Drosophila melanogaster: one gene and its partner. The protein of the gene in region 1 purifies or fractionates together with the protein of each later gene. This does not show direct contact. Each region holds a gene or a part of one and is shown on either strand. Other genes may lie near its edges. The genes, in order: mei-P26 and gw.

Region 1 (5,039 bases):
GCCGCCTGGACAGGCTCCTCCAAAGTAGTCATTGTCCTACAAACAAGTTAACTTTGATTGATCAGGAATACCAGTAAAGCCGAATATTATTCTTGAATAACTACTACTCACCTTTCTTTTGGCGCTGCTCTGATACAACAAGTTCTTGTCTTTTGTCGATTCAATGGATTCCTTTTGTTTTATTGTTTTTGGGCTGCTTTTCCCGTTCCCGTTCCTGTTTCCTGATTGCAATTCCGTATTTCCTGGCTCCTAAATTCTGGTCGCTGCTTGCTTTTCTAGTCCTTTGCGCTTGCTTGCATTTGCTGCTGATCCTATTCCTGATCCTATTCCTGATCCTAATCCTGCTGCTGCTGCTGCTGCTGCTGCTACTTCTGCTGCTCCCTAATGTCCCTCCGCTCTCCCACGAGGGCCATTCCAATTGAGGTCCCTTCTATTGCCGCAAGAAAAGGCCAACAATAGTTCGTTTCGTCGGGGTAAAAATGAGCGAAGGACCTATACAATCCACGCGCACGCACACACACACACACTGATGCGCAACAAACACCCCTTCTTCTCCTCCGCTTACTTAAAATGTATTGCAAATTTGTAAACAAATTTGCGAGCCTCCTTCGGCTTTCGGCTTATCTTAGTTTTTTGGTTTTTGTTTGGTGTTTTCGATTGTTGTTGCTGATTCGCTGCTTGTCTTACTTTTCTAGATATTTAGATATTGCCGAATATTTTTAAAGCATTTGGAAACTGTGTATTGCAGTGATCCTCCTCCTGTTTGATGTGGCTGTTCTTTTGCTTCTTCTTGTTGCACAAGGACGAAATAAAATTAAGGACGAACGAGGAGACGACAACAAACACTGACGAAGAACACGGCGATGCAAATTGGACGACAGCGCCGCTCCTTTTGGTATTTAAAAAAGAACAATGGATACAAAAATCACGTTAATCGGTGGCTAGAAATTTACAAAAATGTACAAATTAATAAATATAAAACTAAAACAGAAATATAAATTCTGTAACGCAGAACAAAATATATCAAATATAGATGAACCTTACTGACATATGGAGAAAGGGAATTTGGCATTAAATCAAATGAAACATTTCTTTTTTACCCTTTCCATACGCAGTGCAACCCCCTTTAAAACGCCTCTGGCTTTTGCAACAGCACACACACACTCACACACTCTGCTGCATACTTTCCGGATGTTAGCAAAGTATATTGGCCATTTTTCAGATAAATCTAATTTCAAAATTAACGTAACTCAGCAAGAATTGGAAATGCGATTCTTATTGATATACAATAGGTAATAATTTTCTTATTCATTTTGAAGTCCTAAGTCAGTTAAGTAAAAAAAATAATAAAAATATGATTAGGTTTGAAAACTTTTTATTGATTACCAAAATTGTGTTATTTAGTGAAATATCTATATCTATCTATATCTATATCTATAATTTTATGTCATCATCTGACAAGAATTGTTGCCTTCTTCCAATTCGACTGCGACGGGACCTTAGGCGTAGTCCAATTCAAAACGCTTGGCATTTGTATAACGCTTTCCCATGAAATCGAATTTGAATTAATATAGCCGGCAAGAGCTACCAGGATGGAATGGAATAATGCCGTTTTGAGAGTTTAATGGGAAAGGATAAGAACTAGCAACATAGATTTCGTGCATTGAATGTTTATCCGATCGTAGGTTATCCAATTAATGTCTATGTTAGGCCACTAATGGAGAGAGTGGGGAAGGGGGTGGTAGTATCGGTTCCCTTTTGCGTTAAGTTTACGTTACGTTTTTCTCCGTTATGTGTAGCTATGCGCCACACACACACACACACACACACACATCAAGCTCTTCTTTACTCCTGCTTCCTGCTTTTGCTACCCGTTCACGCAGGCGCGTTCATAGTGATGACCTTTCTAGCCATTTATCCGCTAGCTGCGCAAAAAAATAGCTGCCCTAACAAGGACAAGCTGGGGCACAAAGTCCTTGAACAACTAATTCAATTGGGGCAAGGCAATTGCCTAAATAAATACGTTTAAATCAGCGGAAGTGAGCGGTAGTTTAAAATCTACTTTAGTTTTGTGCCCCCTCCAAACACTCGCAACCAAACACCCACATGCCGAATCAGCTGCATACACACAGACACAAGCGCCTACAAGCGAACACACGTGGTAAACGGAATTTAGTACCGCTGCTTTGCCCCTTTTTTTCACTGTTCTGTTTTATTTTGCTTTGCTTTATCGGACCTGGATGATTTTGTTGGTCCCCCTATCGACTTTGTCAATTCTGCGCCGCAGCTGATATTTTCTTGTCCATTTCCACGTACTTTTTGATTTATTTCACTTTTAAATGTGTGCCGCTCTCTCTCTTGCTACTCGCAAACGGTTATTTTCGAGTGCAGCGCTGGCTGGGCTGCGAAAGAGATAGAAGAGGAGCGATAAGCGATTGAGAGAGAGAGAGAGCGAAAAATCGGTTATGCGAAGAAAAGTTCTCAATTTCGTTCGTATTGGTGTGCGCAAGCTCACTCAACGCGGCAAAAAATGAAATACGAATACGAAAAACGGCACCCACACATACAGAATACAAAAAAAAACACACACACACACCATGTGAAATTAAAACTGAATTCCCTTTTTCGATTTCGGAATAAACACTATTCTTGACCGACCGGACGAACTGTCGTCGATTTAAAAGTTTTAGTTGGGGGGCGCGGGTGGTGGCTAAGACAACTCTCGACGGGGTCGCGGGGTGACAATCGACAAGGGGGGGCACTGCCGTTGTCCTTGAACGCAAAATTTCCACTTGACTACCGCCCAGGTGGTCGTGGTCAAAAGGCACTCAACACACACGCCTGCACATGCATACACACACACTCTCACAAACCGAACAGCAGACAGGAGGCGAAAAAGGTCCTTGAAATGCCTGAACACTTCACTGTCTGTCCGGCGTTGTCAGCTTTTACTGTCCAATTTAAACTGCTAACTGCTTTTTCGCAACTGTCACCACCTTATATTTAAATGTAGTTTTCGTTTTCACACGTTTTTTTGTTGGTTCTTTTTGTTTTTTGCTGCTCTCTTTTGCTTGTTACGTTACGATTTTATATTTGCCCGTCCCACACAAACGCCTACACGCAGGAACACAAGAGAACACTACACACCACAGGCAGTTATATCTACAGTTACCGTTATTCACTGATTCAGCGAATTTAGCACGTTCTGGGACATTAAAAACAACCAGAAGACCGCCAATTTGATTGGAGTCGATAATTATTGGATTAAACAAATAATTACTTTACTGCTCCCGTCGAACTTTTGTATGCAGTGCAGCTAGGGATGATAGATATATATTTCAGCACAGCCACGTATCGATAGTTTTTGAAAAGCGATGCCCTGATATCGATAGTTATATTGAATAAACGCGTATCGGTCGCCAAATATTTATTTTAAGTTTTCATTCCGCAAAGCTTACATCTTTAATAAGTATAATATAATTATATATATATATATTTAAATAATAACACAAAATACGCTTTATTATTACATGTTACATTACATTTAAATGTCAGTTTGACTCATTTCCGCATGCATATTTTGCATATCAGTTAAATAGGGTAAAATGATGGGATTAATCCCATTCCTTGTCACGCATTCCAACTCGTTTATAATATTATCCAATCTGTCCATCAATATCCGATGCTCTCTAAGCATAGAATTGAATTGATCTTCAGAATTCTGCTGCGATGCGGGCACGTGTTTAGTATCCAATTCCGATGCGTGCACGTTTTCAGTATCATTTTCCGATGCGTGCAGTTTTCGATTGAATTCTGATGTATATTCAACTACCAAAGTCTTTATTTTGACAAAGAAGTTGTTTTTAAAGTATGTATGTTCCATTTGCGTCTTTTCGTTGCGAGTTTTAATAGTATTTTCCCCTTTGGAAAATGCATCCCACAAGCTTTGCAATTTGGATAGTCGCCCTTCAAAATATCCAGGTTTAGATTTCCGTTGAGCCGGAGCCTTTTTATAATTGCGAATAATGCTTTGAATCTTCTCGCCCAAATTCATTTGCTCGGCCAACAGCGCACTAATGCTCGACGATCCGGCCATCTTAATTGAAAGTCTCTTAAAATGGTAACAGGAATATCAACAATTCAATGATACTCTAAGCTTGGCTCTTTTTGTACTGCCTTGAATTGTCGCTCTACAAAAGGACTCCAGTTATTTCTGAAAGCGCAGGTAATTTTAGGAAGAACGTGTGTCAGGTAGGTGGTATTCCCAGATTAATATGCAGATGGCCAATCAGTTTTTGTTTTATGGCCTTACCGTGTACCGCTACAGGTAAGCTCTTAAATTTATTTGTGCACCTTTTTATTTCGGGGAATTTTCTATCGAACACGAGTAAATTCTCGAGCGTTTAAGATCAACGCGCCGAGCACACTTCTGGGTATTTAAGGAGTTTTAAGCATATGCAAGCCGGTCACACGACGACTATCGACACTTATCGTCAGCGTCTATCGATTAAACTTGCACGTTTCGCCCCAAACATATACATTTCATTTAAAAAAGCACACTTAAACAGGAACTTTCGTGTGGATAGCAATCAAATCATGTCCACCGTGAGCGACCCCAACAGTAGCAATCCGCCGGAGAGTGCGGGGAACATTCGGCCGGAGCCCATTTTCCGGGAAATCAATGCGGAGCAGACCGACGAGATAGTGGAGGTCGAATCCGCCTGCATGAACTGCTTCGAAACGGGAGTCACTCGGCTGCTGCCCACCAAGATACCCTTTTTTCGCGAGGTGGTGCTCATGTCCTTCAAGTGCGACCACTGCGGCCACATCAACAACGAGATGCAGTCGGCATCGGAGATCCAAAAGTCCGGCATTCGCATCGAACTGCGAGTGCAATCCGTGGCTGATCTCAATCGGCGCGTGGTGCGCTCGGATAACTCCAGCATCAGCATACCGGAGATCGAGCTAGAGATTCCGGTGCAGTCGCAGAAGGGCGAGGTGACCACCGTCGAAGGCATCATCGAGCGGACGATAGCCGG
Region 2 (5,004 bases), on another chromosome or scaffold:
CCATATCAATTTAAACACACATAAACCCTATGTAGTATATACATACATATGTATGTGTCTAGATTAGAAAGAAACACCCATCCGAGTTGATACTTCCGTCTGCCCCTATGAATGTTGTAATGTCGGGAAGCACTCCTCTGGCTACCAAAAATTAGTAATGTAAATAAAGGAGAGGTGGGCTAATTTGATTCTAAGGTTATATATTTCTTTTTTATTGCATTTGTTTTCGGTTTGGACATCATATAGTGTCCAAATCCCGAAGTTCATTAACTAGTCTCGGAAACCTTTTTGTTCACCTGTTATGTTCTTTTTTAATTTTTAATAACCCCCTTACTTTACGAGTGAAGAGTATAAAAGAATTATAAATACTTTTTCAAGAATTCAGGTTAATATAATTATTCGATTTTATGATAGAATCTAACGTTCCGCTAACCATTTAATACAGCAAACCATATTTATTTTCAGATCAAAAATGACAACACACGATGAGGCTCAGTCATACTTCTCACGTCTTAATTCAATTTCCGAAAAAATTACCTGCGATCTCAATAAAGTTAAATCTACATACAACCAAGACGCTTGGCTTAAATTGACTTTAAACGAACAGGAAAAAATATTGAATAACCAATTAATAGATCCTGTTATATTTTCTAAGTACTGTCATAAGACTAAAGAAAACTATGCGGCACAGGATCCGTACGAAAATACTGAAGTTAGTAAAAATGATTACCGTAAATTTTGTTTCAGAGACATTGTATATTTATATAACGGCCAAGATTTACACACATATAATTATCAAAACGTTGGTTTAAAAATATTACGCGATGAAAACACCGGAGATTTTCAAGATGAACATTCGTTTCCATTTTCTTATCGAACCAAATCACAAATTAACATAGTATTAAAAGAATTTGATGATATCTGTCTTGTTGAAACTCCATTAGGCGTAAAAAAGGCCATTCATTTAAAATTGAAGACAAAAGATTCAACCAATAAAAAAATACCAATTCTCCACCTTAATTCTAATGATAAAACCGGCGTTAACACAACGGAAAGAAAGATTTCCATTCATGAAAACTTCTCAAAAACCCAAACTGTTTATATTGATGAATGTATTGAATCTAATGAGAAAATGCAACTGCTCGTTAAATGTGGATCGAAAAACAGTGTGTTAAACGACTTGTCTGATTATGAAAACGAATTTAAAGATGCACGTCAAGACGAAAATACAAAACTGTTATCCCCTGAACTAAAAATGCCTAAGGGTTTCGATTTTCTTAGCAATTGGTAAAACCTATTTAAATCTCATAGATAGTCGAAGGAGAGCCGATATTTTAGAACATAATTTCATTTGATTTCAAGGCAAAACACCAAAACATACACATTAATATTAATCGGTCGTAAGTCCAAACTTTATACATTACATTATTAAGGATTCTTTTTTAACATAGACTTAATAAAATAAGTTATGAATTTAATGGATTGCCCAAACCTGTTTCAATTCTCACTTCAATAAGGCATTCAAGCTTTAAAATTTATTAATGCATATGTTATCTCACTGTATTGTTTTAATCCCTTAAATTTCATTTGAATTGTTAGAAATGGTCGAGAGTTATATGAGTTGGAACTTGTTTGAAACAGCTCTGTTTTGAATTAATTTAAATTATATCAGCTAATTTATTTTAATCAATTAATCCTTCTGTTGTGTACCCTCTATCTGACCTCTTCGATGTGAACGGGTCACAGCACTTATTTTAGGCAGTTGTGTAAACTGGGTATTACCTAAGATTGATTAATATCGATTAGTTTAAGAAAATATCGGACATCTACCTAGAAGAGTCTGTCGTGATCCAGGCGAAGTGCGAGTGAGAGCATCGTATAGTTACTTTTTATTTAAATTGCGTGTGTTAAAATGAATTAGCACGAGTAGTGAATGTTTTTGTGTGCGTAATCTTTCGAAAACAAGCGCTTTGTCATTAAAACGAAAAGATTGCCAACAGCCCACCACGGATAGAATGTACGGAGTAATGCAGCTAAATTGAAGTAGAATAATTTTAATGTATGGTTGAAGACGTACTCAGTACGATTAAAAGCGAAACTTTCTGACATAACCTAAGTGTGCATAACCTAAATGGTCGCAAAAACCCAAGCGTTTAGTTTCGGACATACGCATGTGTGTATCAGTGCAGAATAAATTCTGTTCGCTTGTGTATCGTGCATTGGAAAAGTCTATATGTACATATGTTCCAGTCAAGAGTTGCCACGCTTTAAATCTTTTACATAATGACAAAGCAATAGGGAATTTAAATGTGTCGCATTTGCTTTGAGGTTTTCCACACCAACAGTTAAAATTTAGTAATAGTGTAATTAAAAATAAAGTAAGCATTTTGCATATTTGCATTAGTCTATACTCCACATACCTTTCCATTCCGTCTTTAAATTTTGACTAGGTGGCAATATTGCAAGCAGGAATATCTGTATGGGTTTATTTAATACACTAGTAACTGCCGTCCCCATCGTCGAACGTGCGCAGAAATTTATATTCAATTACATCGAATTATAATTATTGTTGAGTCTAATCAGTTTTCGCATTCAAGATTGTTATTAATCCCAGTTTATTTTGTGAAATATGAAAAACTATAATTGATTGTCGAATGTGTGTATGTTTTACAACACATACACACTTTGTGAACTCGTCAAAGTGGCTTGACATGCATACACACAAAAATGCACATATATTTACATATATAGAGAAAATCAACTTCTCGTTCAGTAAAGGCAAAAATTGTTGCAAATATTCGGTGAACTATTAGCGTATACACAAGTGTTCAATTTTACTATAAACGCATATTCTGGCAATAGATATTAATTTCTAATTTCTGTTTGGTAGGTTTTAGTTAGATCTCCATTTTGTGACGTTCTCAGCTTTTCGCTTGTATTTCTACACATAGGGTACAAGACACGCGAATATACTAAGTATTGTACAATGACTTCTCTACATATGCACTAGAGTACTGAAAATGTATTCATACAAATGTATATACATGTATATATCTATCGCATTAGTCTTTTTGCCAATACTTGCATATATACAGGTTGTGTAAATACATTTTAAATTCTAAGTTTATTTGAGCATAATTGCAAGTGCGAAATTAGGAAAGGGAGACATAAAATAGGGTGCTTCCGTCAATGTCTGCCTGCCCAGAGTTGACAAATTCATTTTACTTGTGTACATATGCATATGTATATTTATATACCATTACAGAGTTGTGAATTTAATTGTTTTATTTTTTGACATGCATTCGTTTTTCACACAGGAATTTGTCGTTAATGTGGGTGGGGATTCTGCCGGTTGGGCAGCAGACCTGGTAGGTCAGCGATCGCGATGCATATTTCATTTTTAAAATTCTTTATGTACATACTAAGTATACATGTTTAACTCCTGTCAAATGACTCCCACTCTTATATACCCATATGTATGTCCTCAGACTTTTTGAATCGATTATAAAGCTTAAATTTTTATGATTTCTCCTTCAGAATTTTAACTGATGTTATGCAGTTAAAAATCTGTAAAGAAGATATTGATTAAGCCTACGAAAAGCTGATCAGAATTAAAAAATTTTTTAAGAACAACGAACAATAGAAAAACTAAAAACAAACGTGCACAACGTAGGGGTCACTAGAATCTGCATGCTTATTCTCAACTGTCTAGCTTTTATGTCGAAAACGCTTCCGCTATGTAACATACTTTAGAACAAATCTGGTATACCATATACCATTTTACTCTATTAATAATGTGTATAAAGCATAAACGTATCACGGTGATTAAGTTTATTTATCCTGTGTATATACAAGAAAATAAAAAAAGAACTTAGCAATTTGATTTAGAATGAATATTTTGTAATAAAAATAATAAATGTTTTCTATATTTCTACAGAACACGGAAAGAACAAGGATTCAGATTAAGTCATTCCTTTTCGATTAAATTAAATAACTTTTAAAAATTGCCATAAATGCTTATGATAATGAAGTTAAAGATCAAGTGGATGTTGGAATAGTAAGGAATGCTACTTTTGAAGCTGACAATCAGTTAGAACACTTGAGCACTATGCGTGAAGCCCTTTTTTCCCAAGATGGCTGGGGCTGTCAGCATGTTAACCAGGATACTAATTGGGAAGTTCCCAGTTCGCCAGAACCAGCCAATAAGGATGCACCCGGTCCACCAATGTGGAAGCCAAGCATTAACAATGGTACTGATCTTTGGGAGTCCAATTTGAGAAACGGAGGTCAGCCGGCCGCACAGCAAGTTCCAAAGCCGTCGTGGGGTCATACACCATCCTCTAACTTAGGTGGAACATGGGGTGAGGACGACGATGGCGCCGATAGTAGTAGTGTGTGGACTGGAGGAGCTGTTAGCAACGCGGGATCCGGAGCTGCAGTGGGAGTAAACCAAGCCGGAGTTAATGTCGGTCCAGGCGGTGTTGTTTCGTCTGGCGGACCTCAGTGGGGACAAGGTGTCGTTGGCGTCGGACTTGGATCAACTGGTAGGCCTAATATCTATTAGAATTAATGAAGTTAAGCGCAAACGATCAGATAAAGGCTCTAGCTTTTCCCTCAAAATGTGACTAACAATACATGATAAAAACATAAAGTGTAGTAATTGAAGTTGGAGCCTTATCTGGGGAATTACCTATTCTAAGTTCTACAGAAACTTTTATTTCATTAACCCGAAATACTTTTATATTTCTGCTGTTATTTAAGGAGGTAACGGGTCAAGCAATATAACTGGATCGTCTGGAGTCGCAACAGGTAGTAGCGGAAACTCCAGCAACGCTGGTAACGGTTGGGGAGACCCTCGTGAAATACGCCCTTTGGGAGTTGGTGGCTCCATGGATATTCGAAATGTTGAACATCGCGGCGGTAACGGTTCTGGAGCAACTTCGAGCGATCCACGAGACATTCGCATGATCGATCCGCGTGACCCTATTCGAGGAGATCCCCGTG

The links.
Region 2: the proteins of mei-P26 (region 1) and gw purify together in Drosophila melanogaster (affinity purification with western blotting, with the first as the bait; one study listed by BioGRID). This does not show direct contact.

What each region holds. Positions count from the first base shown.
Region 1 is NC_004354.4:9,161,532-9,166,570, reverse strand, and holds the start of mei-P26 (meiotic P26), read right to left. Parts: upstream 3,317-5,039; 5' UTR 3,173-3,316; intron 2,409-3,172; exon of another isoform or gene 2,237-2,408; intron 890-2,236; 5' UTR 112-889; intron 52-111; exon of another isoform or gene 37-51; 5' UTR 33-36; coding exon 1-32. Other genes in the region: CG44532 (uncharacterized protein), read right to left, coding at 3,545-4,096; Zpr1, read left to right, coding at 4,597-5,039.
Region 2 is NC_004353.4:657,442-662,445, reverse strand, and holds the start of gw (gawky), read left to right. Parts: upstream 1-1,837; 5' UTR 1,838-2,017; intron 2,018-2,462; exon of another isoform or gene 2,463-2,886; intron 2,887-3,937; 5' UTR 3,938-4,108; coding exon 4,109-4,544; intron 4,545-4,761; coding exon 4,762-5,004. Other genes in the region: CG46466 (uncharacterized protein), read left to right, coding at 473-1,291. UniProt on the Drosophila melanogaster protein: Required for gene silencing mediated by micro-RNAs (miRNAs). Silences both polyadenylated and deadenylated mRNAs. Required for miRNA-mediated translational repression and mRNA decay. Not required for miRNA target recognition.